Linked DNA regions of Xenopus tropicalis. The protein of the gene in region 1 interacts with the protein of each later gene in a biochemical or structural test. Links are inferred from orthologs where the notes say so. Each region holds a gene or a part of one and is shown in the gene's direction. Other genes may lie near its edges. The genes, in order: nedd4, scn5a, hnrnpul1, rnf7, map3k2, ndfip2 and ess2.

Region 1 (4,234 bases):
CCTTTAATCTGCAGATAATCTCAATGTTTTAACCCTGTGCATTGCCACATACAAAAATGCAGCATAGATGAAAGAGCTAACAGAAAACATAGAACCTACCGAGCCAATACTATAGTCTTTTTATTTGAAAACTATAGGCTCTACTTCACATTTCACTAAAAGGGTTGACTTTATAATAACATTATAAGGATTTGCACACAAACTGTATACCATGCATGATTCCTGTAAACTCTGATACTCTGCAGTCAGTGGGGATTTTCTCACTGGCTTCTAATTGTGTTTTGGCATGCTCCTGGTTTACTTATAGCCAAACCCCATGGGTCTTGTGGAAACTGCAGGAAGATTTGGAATGGTTTAACCAGGCCAATTTCTTCTACATTTATTTTCTATTTCAAAGATTAAAACAAAACTGAATTTTATATGCTTTAATTCAGTTGACATTTTTCTGCAGAAAGGATTTTGTCTAATTAAGTTGCTTTAATTGACTAGGCCTTGTTTAGATTTAAGGAATTCCAATCCAAACGTTTACTACAGGTATAGGTTCTGTTATCTGGAAACCCATTATCTAGAAAGTTCCAAATTACGGGAGAGCTACCTGCCATGAACTCCATTATAAGCAAAGAGAACAATGGGAAGGTAGCAAAATAATAAGAAATCCAAGTCTGGCTTGGGACTCCTCCAGTTACAAGGGAGTAGGAGAAACAATAGGTTACCTGAAAGCAGTTCTAATATGTAGCGCTGGCTCCTTCTGAAAGCTCAGACTCAGGCACAATGCACTGAGATGGCTGCCTACACACCATTATTACAACTGAAAAATACATTTGTTGGTTCAAGAATAACACTTAAAATGGTAAAGTAAATTATTTGCTATGTAAACAGTGTTATTTATAAATAAAAAGTACACCATAAAAATCATGACAATCCCTTTAATATTTAAATAATTTTTTGGCAGACCTAAGGTAAGGAGATTCAAAGGAGATCCCTTATCTGCAAACCCCTGGTAACTAATATTATTTATCCAACATTCTCCAACAATGGAATTTTTAGTAAAACCACTAGGTGGCACCACAGGACAGTTGTGAGTTACAAAGTTTGCTTATCAAGCCTACATTCTGTTTTTTAAATTTATTTATTTTATATATTTACTGCATTACATTTTTTGTAAGTATTTTACATTATGTATGCCTATGTAAATGCCATTTACCATTTCCTGTAGTCACCTAATACATTATTTCTTAAGTTATACAGAACTTAGAGGACACTCTTGTTTTATAAATATTCCTGTTGTTAAAATTAATATGACCACTATAGATTAGTTTAAATATATTAGTTGAGGCACAGTCTGTTTAGATGTAGTTTTGCCAAAAGTAAAATAATAATTCCCCATTTTAAGAGAACATATTCATTTCAGTTAAGATTGTAACTAAAAATGCCACTATAAAAATAAAAGTATTTTCTGTTATACTTGAAATATATAATAACAGGTACCAATTTCCTGCAGTTACTACTGCAGTTTACACGTGTGGATGGGCTTTAGAAATTCAATCCCAACGCCGATGCTCGATTATGTGGACCTTCATTCCTTGAAACTTCCTGTAACTTTATATCTATGGGTAAAAATATGAGAGGCTGGGAATTGCTTAGGAACACATAGGCATATTGATTCAAATGGGCAAGTGTTCCGATCTGGTACAGAAACAAAAAGTAATGCAAGAGGTCTGTTGATCTTGGGCAGGACTCATTCATGCAAATATGGGAAAGTAGAACTGAAACACGCTTGGCAGTGTTTCAGCCAGTATGCTGCAGTAAAGCTGAGCGTAAAGGTCGCTGGAAATCAACTGCCTGGAAAGTGAATGCAGTTGAAATAGAAGATATCCAAGACGGTGCAGAGCTAGGATCCTTGGAAAATGTTTGTTTCATGACGTGCTTTGCTGTACCCTTTTGCTTGTACTTTGCCTCTTGTTGACTGGGACACATTCTGCCGCTGTATGTGTATTTTCTTGCACTTATTATAGATGCTTTGCTGCTGCTTTTGGTTTGCATTTGGAGAAAGGGAGCTCTATATATTTAAATCTATAATATGTTCAGAAACAACAAATGGCTCGGCGGTTAAGACTTCACTTTGCAACTAGGAGAAGCAACACTGATCCCTTACCAGAAAGCTCTGGAGATGGCTTGGATAGTAATATTCATATGTGCTTTAAAAGACTCTCTCCAACAACTGCACCCGGTGTGATTCAAATGAGGCTGTCTCCGAGGCAAAGTGTGCAGAAGTCCTCTTCCCCAGAAACTATTCCTATACATCAAGGTCATTCTGTTTCTCCACCATGCAAAAAAAGCACTTCAGTGCAGATTTCTTTACAGCCAAGCAGGAATACTAGATGTCATCAATCTGGCAACACTGCGCCTGCTATGGAAGATATTTGCGTCGTCAGTTCTTACAAGGATGGAATTAATTCTACTATGAGCAGGAATTATAACTGTCAACCCACCATAAATGACACCTGCATCAGTAGTAGTACCTCAGCTGAAAATGGCAGTTTATTAAGCATTTCTGCAAGTGACAATGGATCATATAGTAGCAACAGCAGTGACTATGGCTCCTGTGCAAGTACCGCAAGTGATGCTGGCTCGTGTGCTAACAGTATAGTAAGTGACTGCAGTAGCTGTACTTATTCTTTAAGTGACAGCAATTACTTAAATGTATTACCCAATGGTAATGCCCTGTTCTTTAACCCAGAAGAAAACTGTGAGTTTTTTAAAAGTAAACTGGAAGAACCTTTGCCTATAAATAACTGCAAGTTCCATTTTGACCTGGATCACTCAGAAAAAGAGGAGGTCAGAATTCCTGCAAGGAAGAAAACAAGAATTCCATTAAGACGCTGCTCTTCATTAGTTATTTTTCCTTCTGACACTCCACCAACATCTCCAACTAGTCTAGTCCCTCCATTAAGCAGGGGCTGCTATCAAACTTCTTACCAGCTTATGCTATCCTCTAATGATTTTACACAAAAAGAGGAGCAAGCAGCCTCCAAGGGGTCCCTTTCAACAGCAGTCAATGGGGTTCGGCTTTCCAAAAACACCTGCAATGTTGGTGAGGTTAGAGATGTTAAGCCGCTTTACTTGAATGACAAAGATGATGGACTGCCAAATATTTGCAATTCTGTTGCAGAACACAGCAAACTGCATGAGGATAAACCTCAGCTGAACTCAGATGCACGGCACTGTCGGCTGGTGCGCAGCACATCCGCATATTCTCCCTCCAATAAAACTGTGGAATGCCAGATGGGGAGAAGCTCAGAGCAGGGATACAAAAATATTCACAAGTGCCAATTAACTCATGTTTTTCAAAGAAGTGTCTCTGAAGGTCCCCCACAAAAACGGTCCTCTGCCTCTAGCCTTAAATGTAGACATCCAAAATCAGGGTCCTCTTATTTGCACATACAGTTTGCCCCTGGAAACGAAAGCAGGATTAGTAGCTATAAGAAACAATCTTTAAGAAGCCCCACAACAGAACTGCCTGGTAAGCCTTCTGTGAAATTACTTAAGGTAAGCTTATTTAACATATTAAATTACATTTTGGGCCACCTCATCAAAATTAATGTTTTGCTTTTGCATATTTGCTTGTTATCCTTTTTATATTTATATTTCATCACCAGCTCTAAAGAGGGATTTTTGGTAGCTGTGTTTGTTGGGGGGAAGAAAAAAGATCAGGTGCTTCATTTCTTTTACAGACTCCATGTAAATGTACTAAATTTCTGAGAAGTCCCTAGCTGTTTCTCTGTAAACACTTAGCAATTACATTTAGTGTATCACACAAGTGCTCTTCTGACCCCATGGCATTTGTAATTGAATAAGCTTATTTTGGGCAAGTTTTCTCTTCAAACTGTGCAGTTCTGTGCAAGTCTTAAATTGTGAATGTGTTCTGGCCAGCTATAGTTCAGCATTGTGCACCGGTTAAAAATAAACAGCTCCCAAAATATTTCTCTTGACTCCAGTTAGTCTGGGTGTGTATACTGATATGCTGTGTGTGGGTTCAAATTTAACACGTTGATATTAGAGTAGCTTTTAGTAATGCCAGCTATCTGTACACAGCAGTCATGAAATTAAATCAGAGCTTTACTCAGGGTCTGTAGGCACTGAAGGTTTTGTACGTACTTGCTTAGGATCAGGTTGCCTTCCTTAATAATCAACAGCTTGTTAAGGACTGCTTTCTAAAATCTTCCCCAAACCA
Region 2 (4,028 bases), on another chromosome or scaffold:
GGAGAGATGGTGCCTATAGTAGCAATGGGGGGATAATAGCCTCTGGGAAGGGACTGGGGCTGTGGGATAGCAGGTATAGTAGGGAGAGATGGCGCCTATAGTAGCAGTGGGGGGATGATAGCCTCTGGGAAGGGACTGGGGCTGTGGGATAGCAGGTATAGTAGGGAGATATGGTGCCTATAGTAGCAGTGGGGGGATAATAGCCTCTGGGAAGGGACTGGGGCTGTGGGATAGCAGGTATAGTAGGGAGAGATGGTGCCTATAGTAGCAGTGGGGGGATAATAGCCTCTGGGAAGGGACTGGGGCTGTGGGATAGCAGGTATAGTAGGGAGAGATGGTGCCTATAGTAGCAGTGGGGGGATAATAGCCTCTGGGAAGGGACTGGGGCTGTGGGATAGCAGGTATAGTAGGGAGAGATGGTGCCTATAGTAGCAGTGGGGGGATAATTTACCTTTCTATAAAGTTTTAGTAGATTGGCCTATTCAATCCTTATTATTTTTTTTTATATTGGATGAGGTTTCATTATTGACCTTCTATGTCTGCCTCATTTCTACCTGCAATTAAAAAATTATCCCAGCAAGAACGAATAAACAAACAAACAAATAAATAAATGAATAATGCTAATCTTTATATTCAGGCCCTCGGCTATTCTTCCTAGTTGCTGAGCAGTTGAGCCCTAGCAACGAGATTGCTGTTAGAATTCCAAGCGTCACAGCTGCACAAGAAAAAATGTAAATATAAAAAAACTACAAAATAAGAGATAGAATCACCTCTACCTCTTATTAAGCTTATACTACCCCTTTAGGGGGTTAAATAATGGAATAATAGATGAGGGCACATTATTTTAGATTTGGAGTTTAAATTCTAACATCTCTCGTAAAACCTAATACATAAAGAGACATTCACCTAAAATTAACCCTGACTGTGCTGTAATGATTTATTTTTGTTTCTAGGGAGATTTATAAAACTCTTGCTGTTTAGTCATGATAATCGTCTGGTTCCTTAAGGCAAATGATGGCAAAATCACTGCACATTGATTATAAAAAGAGTTAATCGGATTGAAAGAGCACGAAATCTGCGCAGCGCTGGATTCCATTCCGAGCGTATTCAGCCTGCCGCTAGGTGGCGCTAACGATCCAGCGTTTGTACGTGCACAGTTGCTTATGGGAGGTTCGTATAAGGGAGTGACTGGCTGGGGAATATTGCAGCCACATCCCTTTCAGTGGAGAGTGCTCCCTGTTGTGCTTATTATGAAGACAACATGCTAGAGATCGCACCTGCCCCAGGCTTTGCATTGGCAGGTGGAAGCAATTCTCTTTGTATTTCTCTGGAGCCCACAGTAAGGTGCAGCTAGATCAGCTCCCACAGTGCCAGAAAGGGAATCTCAGCTGGAGCAAATACTTTGCAAGACTCTTGCTTTTCCATGAAACTTTCAGCTTCTTGGATGCTAACTTTGGAGCTGCCTCTGCGTTACTACCTGACCACAGGAGAGGAGAAACCAGCTGGACCAGCCTGCCTGGGAGTTTCACTGTGATTTTAATAATGATTTTATGGCTTTTCCCCAGAAAGGATTAGACTTCCAGTTTGGGACCAGCTATTAACATTTCATTTGCCTTTTTAATCTGAATTTGCATTCAGCAAACCCTATTGCGCAGAACAGGAGGGCTCTTTGCTCCTTGGTGGATCTCAGCCTACTTTGGCTAAGTGTGCAGTTGTGGTGGAGCAGCTGGGTGGGAAGGTGGAGGTGGCTTGGCTGGGTTTTAGGGCTTGCACAGTCATGAATCTCTTGGCCACATTCCTGTCCTGACACTATCACAGGACCCCGAGGCTTGGAGGGAACATGGAATTCCAAGAGAACTGAAGAGGGTTTGACTTGGTCCTCCCAGTGAGTGCTGGGGGCAGCTGCTTGCCTGGTTGACTGAGGAGTGGTTTTACCTTGAGACCAGTTGTGAACTGCTAGTCAGACTGGACACATCCCAGAGCCTCAATCTCAGCAAACCCTCTGCAGGTAATTAAACGCTTCACCCTTGCCTACAACTTCACCCCCTTGGAATACCTAAACTTGCCCCCCTTTTATTTTCCTTCTTGCTTTTTTCTTTTTTTCAATATTCACTACTCCTATTCAGCTTTGGCAAAATTCAGCAGCTGGAGGTGGGGGGGTTTGGCGTATTCCCCACTTCTTGTGCCTCCCACAAATAACAACGGGAGCTGAGTTTTTAATTGGACTGAGATTTAGGGGGGGGGGGGAGAGCAGAACCATCGGTGGAGTTTAATCCCCCTGAATTTAACCGCAGTTCTGGGGACCTGGGAGTCATAACTGTTGCGGACAGCTCTCCAGCGCTGTAAGTATCCCCCAGACTTGGCATGTGTCTAACCCTGTGTGCTGGGAACGCGCTGCATGGCTTCGCCTCCTGAATCAAATTCATTTATTTACCTTCTAGCTGAGTGTGTGTGCCAGACATCTGCTTCCTATTGTACATTTAGTAACCAGATACCCAGACTTGCGCCCACAACTCTCAGCCCTTATTGCCCCGTCTACTGAATTCAACCGGGGGTGCGAGCAACAAATTTCTTCATTTGGGTTTAAACCCTTTGTTTGGATTCAGTATTTGATTTATTGTAAATTTTTATTTTAGTTTGGAAATCTTGGCATGCTGAAAATGGCTACGGCTAGATTGGCTTTTACAGCTTTGTAATGGGGTACTGTATATACTGTATGTATATTATATTCACACACACATTTATACAGGGAAAAGTTGCGCACACTGCATTGCACATATGTGTGCTTTTGTATGTATAATATAATATATATTGATATATTTACATCAATTTACTACTAATTTACTATACATTTGGGAAAAAAATTATTTTTTCTTAAACAACAGTACGGTTGACTGCTTAGGGCCCTGCCAATAATGGGGCCCCACGGAGCAGCAGCTGTAGGTAGGAGTGTGTGTTGGCGGTGGACAGCAGGTATAGTTGGGCAAGATGAAGACAGAAGGGCAACATGGCGGGCATAATACTTTCTATTACTGTTTCCCAGCCTTCAAGCGCTCAGTTGTGGAAGAAGTTGTAGTTTAACAACAGCTAAGGAGGCTGCAGGTTGCCCTACATTCTATATAAATAACAGGTTGCAGAAAGTCTTTTTTACCCAGGGCCCTGCTGCTGCTACTAAAGACATCACGGGAGATTGATAAGATTAAGGCTGATTGCTGAGTACCATTTAGGACTAGAGAAACCTGTTCAGACGGGGAGTGACGGGTCTGCGGGGCGTTAGAACTAAGAGTATCGCAGCCGCCTTATCTGATAAATACAGTAAATCCAGTACAGTGGGGGGGATTGGGGTATATTAATACAGTTGAAAGACTGGGGTAAATCAAATTTGGAGGACTCGGGTAAATTTTGTACAGTTTGACAATTTTGGCTAGCCAAGTAAAGTTGGAGGACTGGGGTTAATCCAGGACATTTGGAGTTTGGGGTATATCAACTACAGTTGGAGGACTGGGATAATTTGATACAGTTGGGGGACTGGGGTAAATCCAGAACAGCTGGACAATTTGGGTAAACCAAGTACATTTGTAGGGCTGGGGTAAAATAGTACAGTTGAAGGAGGAGGGTGAATCCAGAGTTACAGCATTAGGGTAAATCTAGTACATTTATAGGACTTTTGTAAATCCAGTAGTTAAAGTGTTGGGGTAAATCCAGTACCATGGGGAAGAATTGGGGTAAAATAGTACAGTTAGAGGAGTGGGGTAAATTAGTACAGTTAGAGAATTGGGGTAAAATAGTACAGTTAGAGGAGTGTGGTAAATTAGTACAGTTAGAGAATTGGGGTAAAATAGTACAGTTAGAGGAGTGTGGTAAATTAGTACAGTTAGAGAATCGGGGTAAAATAGTACAGTTAGAGAATCGGGGTAAAATAGTACAGTTAGAGAATCGGGGTAAAATAGTACAGTTAGAGAATCGGGGTAAAATAGTACAGTTAGAGAATTGGGGTAAAATAGTACAGTTAGAGAATTGGGGTAAAT
Region 3 (3,969 bases), on another chromosome or scaffold:
AAGGTACGAAAAAGTCGCGGAAAATACGATTGGACTGATTGAGCAAACACTCGGAGCGTTCGTGAATAAGTAAATGTGCCCCATAGAGTTGAGCAAAGTTATGAACTGTTTTGAATGTGAGGATCATCAGTTTGAATTTTATTTTGGAAGCCAGTACAGGGATTGGCAGAGTGGCATGAATGAGGAGCAGTGGTTACTTAGGTTATGAACCACCATGTGAAGACACTTATCATCACACAAAAAAGGCAATGCCATTAATGGATTAAAAATGACATCACTGACTTGATACAAGAAACACAGCTATGCAAGTCATAATGCCATGTGGGCACAAGAGTGTCGTAATGCCATATGCTCTTTATTATGTTTAGTTCCATGACATGGAACAATTAAAAACTGCAGATTAAAGCTGGCCGCACGTGGCGATTTTCGATCTTTCGAGCGACCACTGACGTTCAGGGCTGAATCGTCAGATATGGAGGTAGAAACAATAGGATTTCTACCTCCTTCTGCCGATTCAGCCCTAAACATAGATTTTGCTCGGGCGCCTTCTATGGTGCCCAGTCAAAATTGTTTAACCCGCCCAATCAGTGAGTTGATCGATATTATCAGCTTTCTGTGATATTGGTTGCATCGCCGAGTTGCCATACACACACCGAATATCGTATGAAACAAGGTAAGAAATGCCAATAATTATCACTGACATTGAAAAGACAAGCAGGTAAAATTCAAACACAGATGTTAGAAGATAATAGAATAGGTTAAAGAAGATAATTTCATGACAAATTCATGCACTATGAAAAGGAAATGCCTATGCAAAAATCCAAACCAAGCCTAGCATTTTCTTGTACCCTAATGTGGACAACATATCATCTATCAGGAGGCTATTATTATTCTTTCAACCTGATCCAAACCACAAGCTCTGCGTTACAAAGTATATACATTGCATTAATATTGAACTGTTCTTAAATATGCACGATAACATATTGGGAGTACCAACATGGCAGGCAAAGCCTTACACATCGGTATATCAAGCTTTAACGTTTCATTATCATTAATAGACGTAGCGTTGCTATAGGAAACAGCTATCGTCGGTTTCTATTGGACATTCTAAGTTACCGCCCATCAGATTTAGCTAATCTGAGAGCGGCTGTAGCTCTCTCGCTCATTCTATTGATTAGTCTTCCTTGTGTGTTCTAGCCAATCGCTGTTTGCCTAGGCTGCGCAGGTTTGGAGGCCGGTGCAGCCATTTTGTTCACCCTCGGTGAAGACCCGCGTATTGGGGGAGGCAGCGTTGACGATGGGGGATCACCAAGCACAATACCACCGGGGCGGGTATCCTGCAGGGCCGCCTAGAGACTATCGCAGGGAAGGGGAAGGCCGGTGTAAGGACGGGAAAACGAGGGCTACACAATGGGGGTCAGATCTGGAATCGGGAATGTTTAAGGAATGGGGCATTGTGAGATATGTTTAATTAGAAGCAAAAGAAACGAAGGCAGAGTTGCATGGGTAATTGTTAGCTGTTTGGGAAAGCTCGGTGGAGGGCCGCGACAGGAAGGATAGGGTGTAAATTCTGACAATGGCAAGGCAGCGCTTGTGACATAAGGTTGTATCTGGGATAGTAATATAAGAGGGTCTCTGTAGGCAGACATTTCTACCTTACTCTGCGCTGTCCAGGTTACAGTGTGTATTCTGAGCATACAGCTTTGCCCAGTTCTTTTGTGCTGGCATGAAGGAATGCACCTCCACTTAATTAAATTGCTTATTGTTTTTGGGACAAGTTGCTTAATTTAAAGAATCTTTAATATGAGCGTATCCATAAGCTTTCATGAAATCATGTATGTGCTTCTCCATGCAGTGTAAATGCCCTAAGAACTTGTAGCATTCCATTCGCCATACATTAACCCCAGGAAATCACTTCTGCTGGTCATGAGATAATCTAACAGCAGCTCATTTACTCTGTCACCAGCCTTGCCCAACCCCAAGTATCATGTGTTTTGTTATTTATTACATTTCTAATTGCGTTTAGGTGCATGCCACACTCCTTAACCAATATGAGCTGTTAAATTATACTTCTTAATCCAACAAGCACATATTTCCTAATGTGCATTTGTTCTGTAACATCAGGAAGTATTTGACACCTGTTTATTAAATAGACATTCTTTTATTGTCTGCTTTTTTTCTAAACAAGAAGCCACTATTCAGTCATTGTATAATGTAGTAGGAAATTATTAAGGTACAAAACTCAAATCTAAAGCACTCACCCAAAGGTTCTGTTAAACACACACCTTGCTGTATACAAACCTAACAGACAATAGTTTTGCAGGTACTGCATATTTAAAAAATATTTGCTGTATAGCATAAGGTTTTTCAGAAAGGAAACATACAATCTTAAGGAATTTGCAATTAAAGGAAAATGTGCAAAATGTTACACTTTATGTTGAGGCAAAAGTAAAAGCTTTTTTTTTTCTTCTTGCCTGTTTGATTATTCACAATTAAAAAAAAAAAACATGACACTTAATCCTGTTTGCCTGTGCATATCCTACTACATCTAAACATCTTTATTGATATTCGTTTGCTGATGTGACCAAAGCAGAAGCTCCTTTTTGCTTTTAGGTGTTTATTTAAATTAATTGGCCCGCCACTACCATCAGCCTAAACACAAAGTCTCTGCCTGTAACAGCTTTCCATAATTATCTATGGGGAAATATAGTGCCCAAAGCACATATGGTTGCAGACAGACATTGGAGGCTCCAGCAAATTAATTTTGTATATGATATAGGCAAAAACAGCACAAGAATATCTCCAGCTGTATATAGACTGCTGTCTGGCTACTGGGCTTTAGTGGGAAGAAGATGTCAGAGTACCACAATGAAGCATGGATAGCAGAGGGCTCAAAATAGACAACCCATAATAAAGCAACAATGTTTTAATTTTTTAAAGGCATTCTGACAGGATTCTACTATTTCTTTAGTGCCATCTCTGGAACACTGGGGATGGATTTTTTTGGGTTGTAGAAAAAAAACAGAATTTGAGGCAGTTTCTTGTCCTACAATCTTTGTAAGCATGTAGAAACCCTTTGGACTTGTAATTTTGGGCTACAGTGGTCCTGAGAATATAGGTCAAAACAGTGAAACTATAATTCTTTTAAAATGTATGCACTGCTCTGAGTCATGGCATTTAAAAAGGGCATAACTACTGAAAAGCAAATGTTTGTGAGAAGGGGGGTCTTTTATACGTCTTGTTGCAGAATGTATTCATCATGTTTATGTATAGCACTGTAATTTAAAGTGGTGGTTTATCTTCAATATGTAAATGTAATTTTTTGTAAAGCTGTCCTCATTTGAATGTTAACTGCTATAAGGATGCTATGGCTTTATTACCATAGCAACAATGCTACAGTTTGATATAATAGAAGATAGAGATGCTCAATAGAAGGATCAGAAAAAATATAGGAATAATAAAAAATTCTTGCACTCAGTCTGTTAGTTAAATTACAAGGGAATAACAAGAAGACGAAATAATTACAAACAAATGAAAACCTGGCTTAGAGTAGGTCTTCCTATAAAATTCTCTTAAGTTTATTTCAAGTAGGGCTTCTTCATACATTTTGCGTGTGGATTTCCAATTATATGTCTCTTTCCCCAGATTATGGAAATCAACCTTCAGAAAACTATGGAATGTCTGCTGGTTTTCCTCCATTCAGGCAGGAGGGCATCAAGCAAGAGCGAGATCAGGGCTATGATCGTTATGATAGGAGACCTGCAGAGCAACCACCACCTCCTCTCTTGCCAAATATGGGTACTGTTTCTTTTCCATGATTATTTTTTCACATTTTACAGATGGCTGTAGTGCATACCAGCCTTGCTGTCTTTTGTTTTGTTTTTTTAATATGTCATCTGTATGCAAGCTTAATTTCACAATTGCAAAAAGAAATTGGTTATGTCAGAAGGATTGTGATGAAAATAGTGA
Region 4 (4,231 bases), on another chromosome or scaffold:
ACACGGACCGATTTTTTACTTACAAACGACCGATTCCCGAACGATCCGATGCTATCGTTAAGTTATCGTATAGTTGGTGGTGTACGAACGATCGTCGGCCCACTAAACGAGCCGACATTACCGTCCCCAAAATCGATCGGCCAGGTTTAAAAATTTTGGTCGTTTAACGATAAAATCTGCCAGTTGGTGTGAGTGTCAGACATTTGTCTTTCAACGATTGTTCTCTGCGCATGTCACGATTGCCAGCAGCAGAAGTCAACGACATCGATCGTACGTAGATGTACGATCGTAGGTATTTTACGATAATGATGCGACAAAATCTTTCCCGAATTATCGTTGCCCGTGGATGGCATATCGTATGGGAACTCGATCGCCATACGATCGTTTGTCGATATAATCGTTCATCGCACAACGAGCGAAATCGCCTCGTGTATGGCCACCTTTACAAACTCCTCCTAACCTTCAAAGCCCTCTATTCCTCTGCTCCTCACTACATCTCTTCCCTTGTGTCTCCGTACGTTCCTGGCCGACTCCTTCGTTCCTCGCAGAGCAATCGCTTGGTTGCGCCCCCCACTACTACTGCGGTTTCCCGCCTTAAACCTTTCTGCCCCTTACATTTGGAATGCCCTCCCTGATGTCCTCCGGAGAGAATCCTCCCCCAGTCTTTTTAAGACTAAACTAAAAGACTTTAGACTCACCCAGCACCTGATCTGGGAACTGGCACTTATATTGTAGTGTCACCCACTGTGACCTACAGCACTTATATTTGCCTATTTGTGTCTGTAAGTTACCCCTCCCATATAGATTGTAAGCTCTACGGGGCAGGGACCTCCATCCTCTTGTGTCTTTGACTCTTAACTTATTGCAGCTGTATTTATCTGTATTTATTGTTATACTTTGTATTTATCTATTATCTTATTAACACCCTGTTTACATTAATGTATTCTACTGTACAGCGCTGCGTACATAAGTAGCGCTTTATAAATAAAGATATATATATATATATATATACACATACATACATAAATACTCTACATGCAGCTGACTGAAATGAAGCTAATTGGTCATTGGTTGCTATAGGTTACTGCCCATGTGCAAATTCACCCAGGGTTGATAAACGAGCAAAATCATCCTCACCTAGGAATATATCAATGATAACACTTTTAAATATAAACCTAATGTTCATTATATTTGTCACTAAACACAAATACTGACATCAGGCAACACCATGCTCCGCCCCAGCAACAAATCGCAGCGCCTTTCCCTTAACTGTTTCGGGCGAATAGAACCAGTATAGCTATTGGTTGCTTCTCTAGGGGCGTAACCCTATGTCTTGCGTACTGGGATTGGCTCTACAGATATATTTTGCTAAAGCGATTGGCTTAGCTTAGCCTGTGCTCTTCTCTCATTGGGTCAATTACCGCAGCACATCGAAAGGATTGGCTATCTGAGGAGCCGCCCCCTGCCGGTATGGCTGCTTTGCGGGAGGAGCACGGAGCGAGCGGACCCAAGATGTTCTCCTTGAAGAAATGGAACGCGGTGGCGATGTGGAGCTGGGATGTGGAGTGCGATACGTGCGCTATCTGCAGGGTGCAGGTCATGGGTGAGAGATACAGCTCGCTGGCACTGGGGCGAAGGCTTCGTGTTGCGGGAATTACCTTCCGCTGCCAGCAGCAGCCCTGCTTGGGGAATCGGCCATACAGTCTCTGGTGGGGGCCGGGGGTTACTGTCACCTACTGAAATGACAGGCGCACACAGGCGGTATATGGAATATACCATTACCCTTCCTGTATTGTCATCCTGGGGGGAGAGGGACATCCCATTCCTAGTAGCTTTTTATGCCCCCCTGGATGACTCAAATCTCCATAGACAGTAATGTTGCTATAGCCCCTTGGCTATTTAGCATCCTTCCCCCCCTCCCTGTGCCAATGCTTTCACCCCCCCATCTGCCCCATCTGTTTGGATTTTGCCATGATATTCCCTGTGGGACTGCACCCATGCCCACCAGTTACACTACTGCCCATACACCCCATTGTGTCACATCATTTATTCCCATACACCCCATTGTGTCACATCATTTATTCCCATACACCCCATTGTGTCACATCATTTATTCCCATACACCCCATTGTGTCACATCATTTATTCCCATACACCCCATTGTGTCACATCATTTATTCCCATACACCCCATTGTGTCACATCATTTATTCCCATACACCCCATTGTGTCACATCATTTATTCCCATACACCCCATTGTGTCACATCATTTATTCCCATACACCCCATTGTGTCACATCATTTATTCCCATACACCCCATTGTGTCACATCATTTATTCCCATACACCCCATTGTGTCACATTATTTATTCCCATACACCCCAATGTGTCACATCATTTATTCCCATACACCCCAATGTGTCACATCATTTATTCCCATACACCCCATTGTGTCACATCATTTATTCCCATACACCCCAATGTGTCACATCATTTATTCCCATACACCCCATTGTGTCACATCATTTATTCCCATACACCCCATTGTGTCACATCATTTATTCCCATACACCCCATTGTGTCACATCATTTATTCCCATACACCCCAATGTGTCACATCATTTATTCCCATACACCCCAATGTGTCACATCATTTATTCCCATACACCCCATTGTGTCACATCATTTATTCCCATACACCCCAATGTGTCACATCATTTATTCCCATACACCCCATTGTGTCACATCATTTATTCCCATACACCCCATTGTGTCACATCATTTATTCCCATACACCCCATTGTGTCACATCATTTATTCCCATACACCCCATTGTGTCACATCATTTATTCCCATACACCCCATTGTGTCACATCATTTATTCCCATACACCCCATTGTGTCACATCATTTATTCCCATACACCCCATTGTGTCACATCATTTATTCCCATACACCCCAATGTGTCACATCATTTATTCCCATACACCCCAATGTGTCACATCATTTATTCCCATACACCCCATTGTGTCACATCATTTATTCAAATAAATGATAAAAAACATAAAGTGTTGGCTACTTGTCCCACAGCATTGATGTTAATAAAGGATCTAGTTCTCTATATTGTGAAATATACACAAACAAACACTATATGGTTTGAAGTATCCAGACTCCCCTTCAGATTAGTGGAAGTTATTATTTAAGCCACACTTCAGTCTCATTACTGATCTGGGGGTATAATGAAGCACCAGCAACAAATATTGCCAAACTTAGTGATTTTTAACATGGCATCATCATAAGATGTCTGTTTTGTTGCTATTTAGTTTGTGAGATTTTGGTGCTGGTGAGATGTAGGTGGGAAAGTGAAGTAGTGGGGCCTGGATACTCGCAGGCAATGCTGAGCGCAGATTACAGCACATATCCGTCAGTTGGAACACTCACTTCTGAGCTCCACACTGTTCCTGAAAGCAATGGCAGCACAAGAACTGTTGGTAAAGTAAGAATAAGGATTTCTATGAGAGGGCAGTGTCACGCAAGCCTAACATTTGGAATGCTAAGCTTCTCCTGGGGAGGATATTGGGAGCAGTGGGAACAGGCCTTTGTCAGATGAATCCCTTGTTACCATCCTAGTTGTTTACCAAATGAGTGTGGGTGACAGACACCAGCTGGACACTCCCTACCTGAATGCATAATGCAGATTTAAAGCTTGGTGGGGAGGAATAATAATCAGTTAGGGCCCCATTGAAAGAAACAGTGTACTATACTGTTAATGACGGTTCCATGTTTTCTACTTTGTGACAACAGTTTGGGTACAGTTCCGTCCTCTTTTATCCATACTAGTCTTCCTGTGACTCTCATGGACCCATTCAGTTCCTGCGACTATCCCATTAATTTACATTGGCATTAAATCCCTACCTCACCCTGGTCTATGTAGAAATGAAAAATCTCATGTCAGATAGGTCTGTCTGTGATTATATACACACATGCACCTCAGATTGGATTCAAGCCTCTTCTGCATGGAATTCCTTCCTGTTTAGCCACATTATATAATTTATTTTTTGCTGCTGGGCAGAAGAGGGTTATAAGAGGAAATATTTTAATGGAAGGTGTGTTTTCCTTTCTAGATGCCTGCCTGCGCTGCCAAGCTGAGAACAAACAGGAGGACTGTGTGGGTATGTTAATAACTGACTGGATTTCTAAGCCCGGGGAGAGAGTTCATGGCTACCTAGTAG
Region 5 (4,021 bases), on another chromosome or scaffold:
CCTCAGTGACTGCTAATATCCTTATCATTTACAGTAGGGGGTACATTATCCTTATAATACATGAGTGATACTCAGAGTTCCCTGTATAACTCAGCCTGCAGCCTTGTGCCTTTATATGGGGGGCACAGAACCCCTCAGTGACTGCTAATATCCTTATCATTTACAGTAGGGGGTACATTATCCCTTATAATACATGAGTGATACTCAGAGTTCCCTGTATAACTCAGCCTGCAGCCTTGTGCCTTTATATGGGGGGCACAGAACCCCTCAGTGACTGCTAATATCCTTATCATTTACAGTAGGGGGGTACATTATCCCTTATAATACATGAGTGATACTCAGAGTTCCCTGTATAACTCAGCCTGCAGCCTTGTGCCTTTATATGGGCACAGAACCCCTCAGTGACTGCTAATAGCCTTATCATTTACAGTAGGGGGTACATTATCCCTTATAATACATGAGTGATACTCAGAGTTCCCTGTATAACTCAGCCTGCAGCCTTGTGCCTTTATATGGGGGGCACAGAACCCCTCAGTGACTGCTAATATCCTTATCATTTACAGTAGGGGGTACATTATCCTTATAATACATGAGTGATACTCAGAGTTCCCTGTATAACTCAGCCTGCAGCCTTGTGCCTTTATATGGGGGGCACAGAACCCCTCAGTGACTGCTAATATCCTTATCATTTACAGTAGGGGGTACATTATCCCTTATAATACATGAGTGATACTCAGAGTTCCCTGTATAACTCAGCCTGCAGCCTTGTGCCTTTATATGGGGGGCACAGAACCCCTTAATGTTGTCTATTAACAACTTGACATTATTTCCTTGAATAAAACCTTTATGAGACAAACTCCATGGAATGGAAGAGAAGGGCCACCCCGGTCTAACGCGGTATAAGGCGACACTGATATACTACAAGTGATACATTATCAACCGAATGTGTTTTTTTATTCCACATTTCTATGAAAATTAAACACGAGCAAAACCCCCTCACAAGTAGGGAACTCTATCACTTTAAATCTGAACGCTCAGCTTCCGCATCTCCGTGAGCTTCACAACTACAACTCCCAGAATTCCGTCGTTGAGAGTTTACGCAAGCCAATCGAATTGCGCATGTGCTTGAGCCATCCCCTGTTGAAATGACAGACAAGGCTGTGGGCCAATAAGCTGAAAGTTTTGTCTCTAGGCGATGACAGCCGTGCTCCTCCCCTTTATTGACGCCTCCGTGCTTGTCTCTGCTGGCGCTAGCCCCTCCCCCCTGTGACGTGCGCGTACTCGGTCCCGTAGTCCCAGGTTCACACGCTCGGTTTGGTTCCGTCGCTCCTTATTAATTAACCCTTACGCCGCGGCTGCCTTTTCGTAAGCGGAGCAGTTACGGGGCCTGTGCAAGTTCCGAGGGTTCCGGGATGGCCGCCATTTTGTGAAGAGCGGGCCCAGTTCGGAATAACACTGCCGCCGCTGCCCCCGGGCCTGTGACCCCCCGCCCCCCCCGGGAGGAACAGGCTGGGGGCGGGGGATTGCTGGAGTCGGAGCTGCAAGGGCTTCTGGGAAGTACAACCGGGCCCCCGGCTCAGCTGACAGGTATAAGGGCCACACATTCATTTTAAAGGGGGCTGCAGGCTTTGGGGGGGTTGTGTTGGGGGGCTATTAGTGTTTATGGAACTCTGAGGGGGGGGGAATTCATTGGGGGCTGTTATGGGGGAGGGACAACTGTAAAGGGGGGGTGCTATGGGCATTACAGGGGGGCTATATGATGTATTGGGGCTGGGGAGCAATGTCTGAGGGTGTCATGGGGGGGCAAGTGTGGCTAATATTTGTGTTTGCCATGGGAATCAGCTGCTATCTGCTACATTGTGTCAGCAGTCACAGCCAGCAGTGCAGCAGTCAGAAGCAATTGCCTTGGCAAGTACATTAAACCCACAGAGAATGAGGGAAGAAAGTGTATGGTGATTGGAATGGTATTTTCTCTTATTATACAGAATAGGGGAGCTACTTACATATAATATAAACCCAATAGGGCTGTTCTGCCCCCAATAAGGGGTAATTATATCTTAGTTGGGATCAAGTACAGGTACTGTTTTATTATTACAGAGAAAAGGGAATCATTTAACCATGAAATAAACCCAATAGGGCTGTTCTGCCCCCAATAAGGGGTAATTATATCTTAGTTGGGATCAAGTACAGGTACTGTTTTATTATTACAGAGAAAAGGGAATCATTTAACCATTAAATAAACCCAATAGGGCTGTTCTGCCCCAATAAGGGGTAATTATATCTTAGTTGGGATCAAGTACAGGTACTGTTTTATTATTACAGAGAAAAGGGAATCATTTAACCATTAAATAAACCCAATAGGGCTGTTCTGCCCCAATAAGGGGTAATTATATCTTAGTTGGGATCAAGTACAGGTACTGTTTTATTATTACAGAGAAAAGGGAATCATTTAACCATTAAATAAACCCAATAGGGCTGTTCTGCCCCAATAAGGGTAATTATATCTTAGTTGGGATCAAGTACAGGTACTGTTTTATTATTACTGAGAAAAGGGAATCATTTAACCATTAAATAAACCCAATAGGGCTGTTCTGCCCCCAATAAGGGGTAATTATATCTTAGTTGGGATCAAGTACAGGTACTGTTTTATTATTACAGAGAAAAGGGAATCATTTAACCATGAAATAAACCCAATAGGGCTGTTCTGCCCCCAATAAGGGGAAATTATATCTTATTTGGGATCAAGTACAGGTACTGTTTTATTATTACAGAGAAAAGGGAATCATTTTTAAAAATTAGAATTATTTGCTTATAATGGAGTCTATAGGAGATGACACTTCCGTAATTCTGAGCTTTCTGGATAACGGGTTTCCAGATAATGGCTCCCATACCTGTACTAAGGCTTTATAGTCGCTGTTGCAGAGATACATTGACCGGAAGATCTCATAAACTCATCAGATTTAGTAGCGCCCGACAGGATCTGGTGTTGTTGCACGCAGTGTAGCTCAGCCCTAAGGGGATCAGTCAGGGACGGGGGAGATTCCTGGGAGCTGATCCAGCAAGTCATGCAATCCAGTGGTGTAAATTAGCTGCTTGTTTCTGGTGGGGGGGCTAGAAGCATTGACGGATAGGGGCTGTGCAGTAAGTCACTAAACTTGCTCTCATTTTTAGGCAACTAGATTTTCCAGCTTCTCCAGTTGCAGCCTGTACAGGTCCAAACAGATATGGTTTGGGAAGGGCAATTGTTTGGCCCCGTGCTATGGTCACTGCTCTGCAGAGGAACTAGGGATGCACCAAATACACTATTTCTGGGTCGTGCTTGCTTAAATTTGTTTTACTTTGTGTTTATGTGGCCAAAAGGCACATGATTTTAAGGATTTGGTTCAACCAGGCCATATCCGAATCCTGCATAAAAAGGCAGAATCTTGGCCGAATCCTGGATTTGGTGCATCCCTAATAGGAACACTAAGACGGCCTCTAAAATCAGCCTGGATAGGGTGCTGGTAACCACCTGTAAGTAAAGGAATACAGATATGGGATCTTGTATGCGGAAACCCATTATCCAGATGAATTCCGTTCTGAATTACGGAAAGGCCATCTCCCATTGACTCCATTATAAGCAAATAAATTCAGAATTTTAAAAGTGATTTCCTTTTCTCTGTAATAATAAAACAGTACCTGTACTTGATCCCAACTAAGATATAATTACCCCTTATTGGGGGCAGAACAGCCCTATTGGGTTTATTTCATGGTTAAATGATTCCCTTTTCTCTGTAATAATAAAACAGTACCTGTACTTGATCCCAACTAAGATATAATTACCCCTTATTGGGGCAGAACAGCCCTATTGGGTTTATTTCATGGTTAAATGATTCCCTTTTCTCTGTAATAATAAAACAGTACCTGTACTTGATCCCAACTAAGATATAATTACCCCTTATTGGGGGCAGAACAGCCCTATTGGGTTTATTTCATGGTTAAATGATTCCCTTTTCTCTGTAATAATAAAACAGTACCTGTA
Region 6 (3,500 bases), on another chromosome or scaffold:
GATAGAATTTGGAAAGGAGAACAGCAGCAGGATGATGAGGAAGTAAGTTGGTTAACGGTAAGAAAGGATAATGTAGGGAAAGGAAAAAGGAAGGCTGATCTGTGGTTTGAGCATCCCAACAGATTTGTCAGACTGTATGAGGAAGATGGGAGTTTAAACTCTGGAAAGGCTGTTTTAAATGGGCCTGATCACTCTTACGGACTGGAGAACTGCCTCTATAATAGTAGTGGTAGTGGTGGGGGGAAGAGATGGGTGAGATTGAGTTACTAGGAAAGTGGCCAGGGTTCAGCATATCGTAGACAAAAACATTGGGTGGGACCGAGCATAAACTAGCAGTCTTCGGGTGGGACTAAAATGCTGGTGGAGTGTTTAAACTATGCATCGGAGAGCATTATGTTGAAGTTAGTGTAGATAGGGCGCACATAGCATACCAGTTAAGGAGATCGCATTGTTACCAAAAAAACTGGCAATAAATATAGATCAAAGGTGGCCATACATGTTAAAGGAACAGTAACTCCAAAAAATGAAAGTGTTTTAAAGTAATTATAATACAATGTACAGTTGCCCTGCCCTGGTAAAATTTGCATGTTTGCTACAGAAATGCTATTATAGTTTGTATAAATAAGCTGCTATGTAGCCATGGGGGCAGCCATTCAAGCTGGAAAAAAGGAGAAAAGGCAGAGGTTACATAGCAGATAACTGATAAAACACCATTGTATTGTAGGGAACTTATCTGTTATCTGCTACATAACCTGTGCCTTTTATCCTTTGAATGGCTGCCCCCATGTCTACACAGTAACTTTGTTTATATAAACTAGTAGAGTTTCTAAAGAAAACACACCAGTTGTAGCAATGCAGGGCAACAACACATTATATTGTAATTACACTTTTTTGGTGTTACTGTTCCTTTAAGACCTGCTCATCTGTCAAGATTGCCAAAAGAGTGGATCTTTCTCCCTGTATGACCACCTTGGCCATAGGCCAAACAACTGAATTACGGTGACATGTATAAGAGATGTCAGAGCTAGGACTGCATCAATGAGCCAATGCAGTCCCAGATCCAGTGGAAAAACCAATCCTGCCTGATTGACACCTGGTCAATTTTTGCCCAGATATCAGTTGGAGTGGCCCATCAGGGGTCCCCATGAAAGGGCAAATAAGCTGCCAAATAGGTCGGAAGGCTTAAATCTGCCCATATGTGACCACCCTTACTCTCCATTGAGTAACATAAATATCAGAGGGAAAAGTAGTAACCTTTGCTGTCTGTGCAAATGCACAAATTGTGAAAGCTGGAGTTGATTGTTTTTAATAAAATTAACCAGGATTAGCATGAGGGTTAGCCCTGTGGAAGCTGTGTAGCATGCGTGAAGAGAATAAAGCCTACCTACTTTCACAATGGAAGAGGCTTCACAGCCAGTCGTGATTAATAGTGATATTGACTGAAGTAATGGGGCAGACAAGTCTTATTTAGGTATTTTTTTATATGTAAATACATATAGAGCATCATATTGTCACATAAGTAACCCATCACAGATCACTTCAACCTTTGACATCTATGGGAGATACTGAGATTGCTCCAAGTGTGCATTTGGCTCAATATTTATAGCTAGCAGTAGTTGTTTTGGAGAATTAAATGCCAAATTGATTTCTTTCTTTAGCTTCAGAATGAGGATGATTCATCAGAGGCACCAACTGTAGAACAGCCTTCAACCTCTACGCAACCATCTCAGGCTGCCCAAACCTCATCATCTGCATCAGATGTCTCTCCTCCACCCTACAGCAGCATTGTTGCTGGAACAACTACAGATGCAGGTACATCTAGTTAAGGAATCCTTTGTTTAATAAAAACATAAAATCAGACAAATAAATACGTTTGTAACTTATTTGTCTGATTTTATTGTTTGAATTTCTTCTATTCTTTTCCTTTTGGTTTCTATGGTTGCAGACACTGAGCAACAATATCTGTTTACTTTAATACAAGGACAAACATATTTGTCTAATTTTATTTTGTGCAGTTTTTATCTTTTTTTCCTTCTGGATGATGTGACATATAACAACTGTGCTTTGCTAACTTTAGGTCTTATTTTCTGTTTTACTTTTTTACCTTTTGTCTCACTCTGTATGTTGTGTCTCACTCTAGTGATGTCATGTGATGTCACAGCGTCATATAATCATGTCTTTTGCTGCATTATAAGCCCTGTGAGTGTGGATTCCTTTACATCATTTTTTTACGGGGTTCTTAACCAACTAACCGTTTTAGCTGTCAGACTAACCTCTTGCTGGTTAGTCTGACAGCTCGGTAATCAATGGACACACACTGTTTGGTACATTCGTTGATAAATTTCTCAGCATCATCTGCAACTATTGTATCAATTATGGTTAGATAAATGTAACAACTAATGTATCAAATAAGTTGATACACTGACTTCCCCGACTCGGTTCTAATGTCTGGGACAATAGAGAACTGCACTGTGAGGTTAAATAAAGATGAGACCTTGTTACTGAGGTGTTATTTACCTATACCTTTCCTTCTTCTTTAAGGTTGTTGTGATGTGTATTAAGCAAATTCACTGTGCTGCAGAAAATTGCCTTAAAAAATCCCTGCAATCCTGGGTGACTCCCCTAACTCCTTTAAGGTGGCCATACACGTGGCGATCTGACGATGTTTCGTACGACCATCGGTCGCACGAAACATCGTAAGATCCGCCACACACCATTCAGGGCTGAATCGGCAGGTAAGGAGGTAGAAACAATAGGATTTCTACCTCCTTCTGCCAATTCAGATCTGAAGGGAGAATTTTGGTCAGGCGCCTTCTATGGCGCCCGATCAAAATTTTCCAACTGGTCCGATCGGCGAGTCGTCCGATATCAACAGGTTCCTGCGATATTGGTCGACTCGCCTACATACCATACACGCACCGATTATCGTACGAAACGAGGTTTCCACACAGAAAGATGACTTGGTGGGCTTGGGAAACACAGTACTGTAGCACCATCTTACCTTGCTATTCAAGTCATCTCTTTTGTCACATTTAGATGTACTGTTGCAAAAAAACCTATAACCTTGTGCTACTGCGCATGTGCAAGTCCCTGGCTAGGAACTGGTAAGCAAGATGGGGGTGCTGTGATTTAAATTTCCTTGACTGGTGCAGTTTTTCCTAACAGGAGCACAGGCCCAGCGACCACACCTAGAAATTCAGTCCACTGGGAGGTGACTAAGATTTTGGCACCCCTGAGTGAATAGAGCTTTTCTCGTCTTTTAAAGCTTCTGGGTCCCAATATATCAAGCAACATTGTGGATAATATTGCCCTTGTTCCTGGTATAAGATATAAACTATGACAAGGCAATTCTAAATCAAAAGCTGATGGGGAAAAAAAAACTTGAGCATACCCCCTTGCCCATTATGAGTTCAATAAATAGTGGTTGTGCCAAACATATATTTGCCTATTGTTTTAATCCCGAAAAATATATGACTTGTGTTATTTCTTGAGCTAAAAAG
Region 7 (4,208 bases), on another chromosome or scaffold:
TTCTCCTCTATTTGCAAAGAGAATATCCTAAGGTGAACGGCTCCCCCTTCTGGAGCTTGATGCAGCAAGCCTGAATGCAGTAAGGTTGTGAAATGCCTATTGTAAAATGCCTATTGTAAGATTACAAATATGTAATTTATTAGACAAAGATCATGTCTTTATTAGACAAAGATCATTACAATGTTTTACAAAACATTAGTAGTGTATATGCATTTAGCAGGGTTGCAAACCAGGCCCAGGGATTCCAAACAGGCCCTGGCATTTCAAGTACACAGAGACCCAAAAAGCCCTCCACCAGCCCACTAAATAGTTACTGTCTATGGCATCTTACAGCAGCCCCTCTGAAAGGCATGTCCTTGTATGCATGCTAATTAAATCATAATGATCATAAACATTCTCAAGGCACCTCAAACAGCTCCCAACCAGAGGCGGGCCAAGCTGACCGGCCATCCTAGGCAATGCGGTCGGTCACCTCTTCCCTGCACTTTCCCCGCCCTCGTGTGTGCTTTGGCGCGCATGTGCAGTTCCATCAAGCACAGGGGGAGGTCATTGCCCCCACCGCGTAATGACAAGCGGCGGGGGCAATGACAAGGTAGCGTGGACTACGGGGTAGGCAAGAGAGGTTCCTGCCTGGCGCCCCCCAATCGTTGTGCCCTAGGCAGGTGCCTGTCTGTCTACCCCTAGTTCCGGCCCTGTTTTGACAGCTCAGCCTGCAGTCCTGGATTCTTACTGAAAAGTCCCTCATTGCCCTTTTCATTGCACTGAAGACCAAAAAAGATACAAATGTTTCTCAAACTTAATTAAAAAGTAGCTTTTGGCAGAGAGCCCAAAAAGTTAACAAGCTTCACCTGCACTGAAATACAATTGTAACTTATAAGCTAAACAGGTCTCTTGTGGGGAACTGACTTGCAGCTTAAAGGGCAATTTCAGCATTTTTTAAACAAAACTGTAATAACACATAAAACAAGACCCCAAAAAATGAAATTCACCTTGCTATGTGTGGCATTTCTTTTTGTCCCTCTTTCCATTTTCAAAATGTTGGGAGGTATAGTTCCATACTTTTGTAAATCACATAAAGTGACATAACATTAACTACAGGATATAAAATACCGTGTCAGTATGTAATACAAATATGAATTGTAAGCAAACAAGCAAAATCAAACTGTACCTATAAAATAAGTGAATAGTCTGAAAACCCGAGGAAAAAAAATGTAAATTTTATAAGGAATGGAATTCCTTTCCCTGGTCTCTTTCCTACTCAGCATTTAAACTTGAATATAATTATATTTGGTATTTATCCCTTTTGTTATTATTGTATTGACTCCTGTATGAATTCATTGCTGGAAGGTTCCCCGCATCCCACACTACAACTTCCGGCAATTTACTCACGTTACAACTACGTTTCCCAGAATGCAATACGCTATTGCGCTTCATCTTCCGGAATGCGTTGTGGTTGTATGGTGTCGGAGAGGGTCTGCTGAATGTAGTTATATTGCGGTGGGATTGCGATTTGTTTTTTAGACGTCTATACACAGCAAGAATCCTTGTGGCTTTATATATGTGAGCGTTTGTGTGCTGGTGTCTCTGTGTCAGTACCGCGGGATGGCAGCCCCTGGAGCGGAGAGTGAAAACACTGGGGCATTAGTGAAACACAAGCCTGGAGCAGGAGCTTTAGACATACAAAGAGAAGTCCCTGAGGCAGCAGAGAGCAGCAGGCCAAAGAAGAAGGTGCTGTGTGAAGAGACGTATATACAGGTAAGTCACGGGGGATACGGTGACATGAGAAGGAATGTGCTCTTGAGTGTGTTTTTGGGGACAGCTGTCAGATCAGTGCGATGTCGTAGAGTCTTTGCAGTACTGTGCCGAAAAACTGAGCACTGGCCCTATAATATTCACACGCATGGCAAGTTACCTAAACTAAATTACATGAGACGGGCAAATGCCCCTTTGACAATAGAGCAACTACTTCAACCAATAATCACAGGTTTTTTTTTAATATTAACTGTTAAATATATATTATCATAGAAGACAGTGGAGCTCAGCTATAAGCAAATGTCAGTGGTATCATCAGGCACAAAGTTCCTTCTGCAGGTGAAAATTTAATGCAACTTTCCCACCGGCCATTCACTTTATTGCCGATGGAAAGGAATTTCTTGGAGATAAGTCTCCCACTGTAGCCGAGATCTAACCATGGGCGACTAATTTCACCGTGGGCCCTTACCCTTGACCCCTACATGTTTACCCATCTGCAGTAACCCATAGCAACCAATAAGATGTTTGCTTTTAAAAGGTGATCAGTAAATGCTACCTGCTCATTGTTTACTATGGCTTACTGCACATGGGCAAACTTAGTACCTTACATAACCCCTATATAGTTTGATAATAGCCCACTGGTTCTCCTTTTAATGCATGCCACTCAAAGTTAAAGCAACATGTTATGGATGTATAAATGAAAAGAGTAATTGGAACAAGAGCCTGCTTGCTAGTTTTTGATGGGTTCCCACTACTGAGAGCAATTGTATTAAAAAAAACTCCCAAAAAAATAGGATTTAAATAGAAACCCTATATTTTCTAAAATGCTTGTACCCTTATCAGCAGATTAATGCCTAAATGAAATGCCACATTAACCCCCTAAACTTGGAATTCATAACATGAAATACAACTTTTCTTTTGTGTTTTTTTTTTAATGAGGAATATGTGGAGTGTGTGGACATCATATGCTCCGTTTTAGAGATTCAGTTTCAGTGGTTAGACAAATCTTGATTTTTATTATATAAAGTGTGATTACATAAGTAAGTCTTTGTCTAGCTTGTCTTTTGTACGGCATAGCAAACAGTATATGTGGTTTGTAAAAACCACCTTTTTGTTTTTCTCTATCTTCATGCAGAATCTTCAGAAAATCATTCAGAGAGATTTCTTCCCAGATGTTGAGAAGTTGCGGGCTCAGAAGGAATATTTGGAAGCAGAGGAATGTGGAGACCTTGAGAAGATGAGACAGATTTCCATTAAGTTTGGCTCCACCTTGGGCAAATCAGCTCAGGATACTCCACTGCCTTGTAAGTTTATATTACTAATGAGCTCATGGGGAAGATCCTGTTACTTATATATTTTATATTCATGCTACTTAATTAATGCAAATGCTGCTTGGGTTTTAAATAATGGGCTTGCCTGCTTAGAAACAACATCTAATGGGTTAATGTAATAAAATGTCTAAAATGTAGCAATTTGTAGCCGCCAATCAGTAAACAGTAATTGCTACTAGCTAATTGATTACTTTGGGTTTCGAGACAAGCTTTACACATTATTCCCATGCGAGATAGGGAGTAGCAGCCTGGCTTAAATAATTCCGAAACATTACTACATATATAAATGTAAATATTAATTGTCAGATGAGTTTGTTTTTTTAAAGACTGCAATAGGTATAGAATTTCCAAGACTGGAGCAGTGAGAAAAAGGTTTAAGGTAGGAGACAGCAATGGAAGTGGGTGGCAGTCGCATTGAAAACTTGGGAATATGTTTATTAATACCAATTTTAATTCTAGCTAAAAATATTCCCAGGTTTTTACAGTATACACTGACATATTTTAAAGATAAAATAGCTTTTTTTTTGTTTACATTATTTTGTGTTCCGGCTGTAAAACTTGGAATTTAGAGTGATAACTGGTTGCTGGGGTTTTTGTACCCTATCAATGAGGCAGAAGTTTGGAAATCAGAATGAAAGATAAAAAACTTCCCAAAATGTATTATTTAAAGAAAGTGTAATTTTATGCCTACCCTACCTTTCCAATATACATTAATATAGATTTTATTTTTAAATTAAATTAAAAGCAGCATCTTTTTATAACTTTTTGTTTTCTAGGCCTACCTTAGACTGTCAGGTTAACTGGTTCTTGAAACTGACCCTAGTGTATGTGCATACATACTAGGGATCTTATATTGTACGCTCTGCTGTGTTAGGGCGAAGACAGATGGGGTGATTAGTTGGCGTGATTTTTAAAATCCAGTCACAGCAACTAATCACCTGTTGGAAAAGTCGTGGGGACTGGTCCTGCACGGTACCATGCAAATGCAGTGAATTGTATATCTGTGCACAGAGATTATTCTTCACGAGAAGTGATGGGCAAAATAATTTGGCAGGCATGGATTTGCTGTGAATTTTCGAGTTTCGCCATTGGTGGCTTGTTTTGCGAAATGGGCGACAAAATCCG

Evidence for each region.
Region 2: the proteins of nedd4 (region 1) and scn5a form a complex in vitro, tested with the Homo sapiens proteins (3 studies listed by BioGRID, with this or other methods). The link is inferred for Xenopus tropicalis from reciprocal best matches to the Homo sapiens genes NEDD4 and SCN5A.
Region 3: the proteins of nedd4 (region 1) and hnrnpul1 form a complex in vitro, tested with the Homo sapiens proteins (2 studies listed by BioGRID, with this or other methods). The link is inferred for Xenopus tropicalis from reciprocal best matches to the Homo sapiens genes NEDD4 and HNRNPUL1.
Region 4: the proteins of nedd4 (region 1) and rnf7 form a complex in vitro, tested with the Homo sapiens proteins (2 studies listed by BioGRID, with this or other methods). The link is inferred for Xenopus tropicalis from reciprocal best matches to the Homo sapiens genes NEDD4 and RNF7.
Region 5: the proteins of nedd4 (region 1) and map3k2 form a complex in vitro, tested with the Homo sapiens proteins (2 studies listed by BioGRID and IntAct, with this or other methods). The link is inferred for Xenopus tropicalis from reciprocal best matches to the Homo sapiens genes NEDD4 and MAP3K2.
Region 6: the proteins of nedd4 (region 1) and ndfip2 form a complex in vitro, tested with the Homo sapiens proteins (3 studies listed by BioGRID, with this or other methods). The link is inferred for Xenopus tropicalis from reciprocal best matches to the Homo sapiens genes NEDD4 and NDFIP2.
Region 7: the proteins of nedd4 (region 1) and ess2 interact in a test that uses a peptide from one of them, tested with the Homo sapiens proteins (2 studies listed by BioGRID and IntAct, with this or other methods). The link is inferred for Xenopus tropicalis from reciprocal best matches to the Homo sapiens genes NEDD4 and ESS2.

What each region holds. Positions count from the first base shown.
Region 1 is NC_030679.2:100,447,885-100,452,118, forward strand, and holds the start of nedd4 (E3 ubiquitin-protein ligase NEDD4), read left to right. Parts: upstream 1-1,434; 5' UTR 1,435-2,097; coding exon 2,098-3,549; intron 3,550-4,234. UniProt on the Homo sapiens protein: E3 ubiquitin-protein ligase which accepts ubiquitin from an E2 ubiquitin-conjugating enzyme in the form of a thioester and then directly transfers the ubiquitin to targeted substrates. Specifically ubiquitinates 'Lys-63' in target proteins.
Region 2 is NC_030682.2:13,453,893-13,457,920, forward strand, and holds the start of scn5a (sodium channel protein type 5 subunit alpha), read left to right. Parts: upstream 1-1,228; 5' UTR 1,229-2,008; intron 2,009-2,015; exon of another isoform or gene 2,016-2,342; intron 2,343-4,028. UniProt on the Homo sapiens protein: Pore-forming subunit of Nav1.5, a voltage-gated sodium (Nav) channel that directly mediates the depolarizing phase of action potentials in excitable membranes.
Region 3 is NC_030684.2:79,222,536-79,226,504, forward strand, and holds the start of hnrnpul1 (heterogeneous nuclear ribonucleoprotein U-like protein 1), read left to right. Parts: upstream 1-1,169; 5' UTR 1,170-1,297; coding exon 1,298-1,382; intron 1,383-1,416; exon of another isoform or gene 1,417-1,502; coding exon of another isoform or gene 1,503-1,506; intron 1,507-3,645; coding exon 3,646-3,798; intron 3,799-3,969.
Region 4 is NC_030681.2:129,414,009-129,418,239, forward strand, and holds the start of rnf7 (RING-box protein 2), read left to right. Parts: upstream 1-1,431; 5' UTR 1,432-1,470; coding exon 1,471-1,603; intron 1,604-4,123; coding exon 4,124-4,171; intron 4,172-4,231. UniProt on the Homo sapiens protein: Catalytic component of multiple cullin-5-RING E3 ubiquitin-protein ligase complexes (ECS complexes), which mediate the ubiquitination and subsequent proteasomal degradation of target proteins.
Region 5 is NC_030685.2:86,477,614-86,481,634, forward strand, and holds the start of map3k2 (mitogen-activated protein kinase kinase kinase 2), read left to right. Parts: upstream 1-1,221; 5' UTR 1,222-1,587; intron 1,588-4,021. UniProt on the Homo sapiens protein: Component of a protein kinase signal transduction cascade. Regulates the JNK and ERK5 pathways by phosphorylating and activating MAP2K5 and MAP2K7. Plays a role in caveolae kiss-and-run dynamics.
Region 6 is NC_030678.2:125,255,751-125,259,250, reverse strand, and holds part of ndfip2 (NEDD4 family-interacting protein 2), read left to right. Parts: intron 1-1,658; coding exon 1,659-1,812; intron 1,813-3,500. UniProt on the Homo sapiens protein: Activates HECT domain-containing E3 ubiquitin-protein ligases, including ITCH, NEDD4, NEDD4L, SMURF2, WWP1 and WWP2, and consequently modulates the stability of their targets. As a result, may control many cellular processes.
Region 7 is NC_030677.2:153,459,323-153,463,530, reverse strand, and holds the start of ess2 (splicing factor ESS-2 homolog), read left to right. Parts: upstream 1-1,408; 5' UTR 1,409-1,602; coding exon 1,603-1,755; intron 1,756-2,887; coding exon 2,888-3,056; intron 3,057-4,208. UniProt on the Homo sapiens protein: May be involved in pre-mRNA splicing.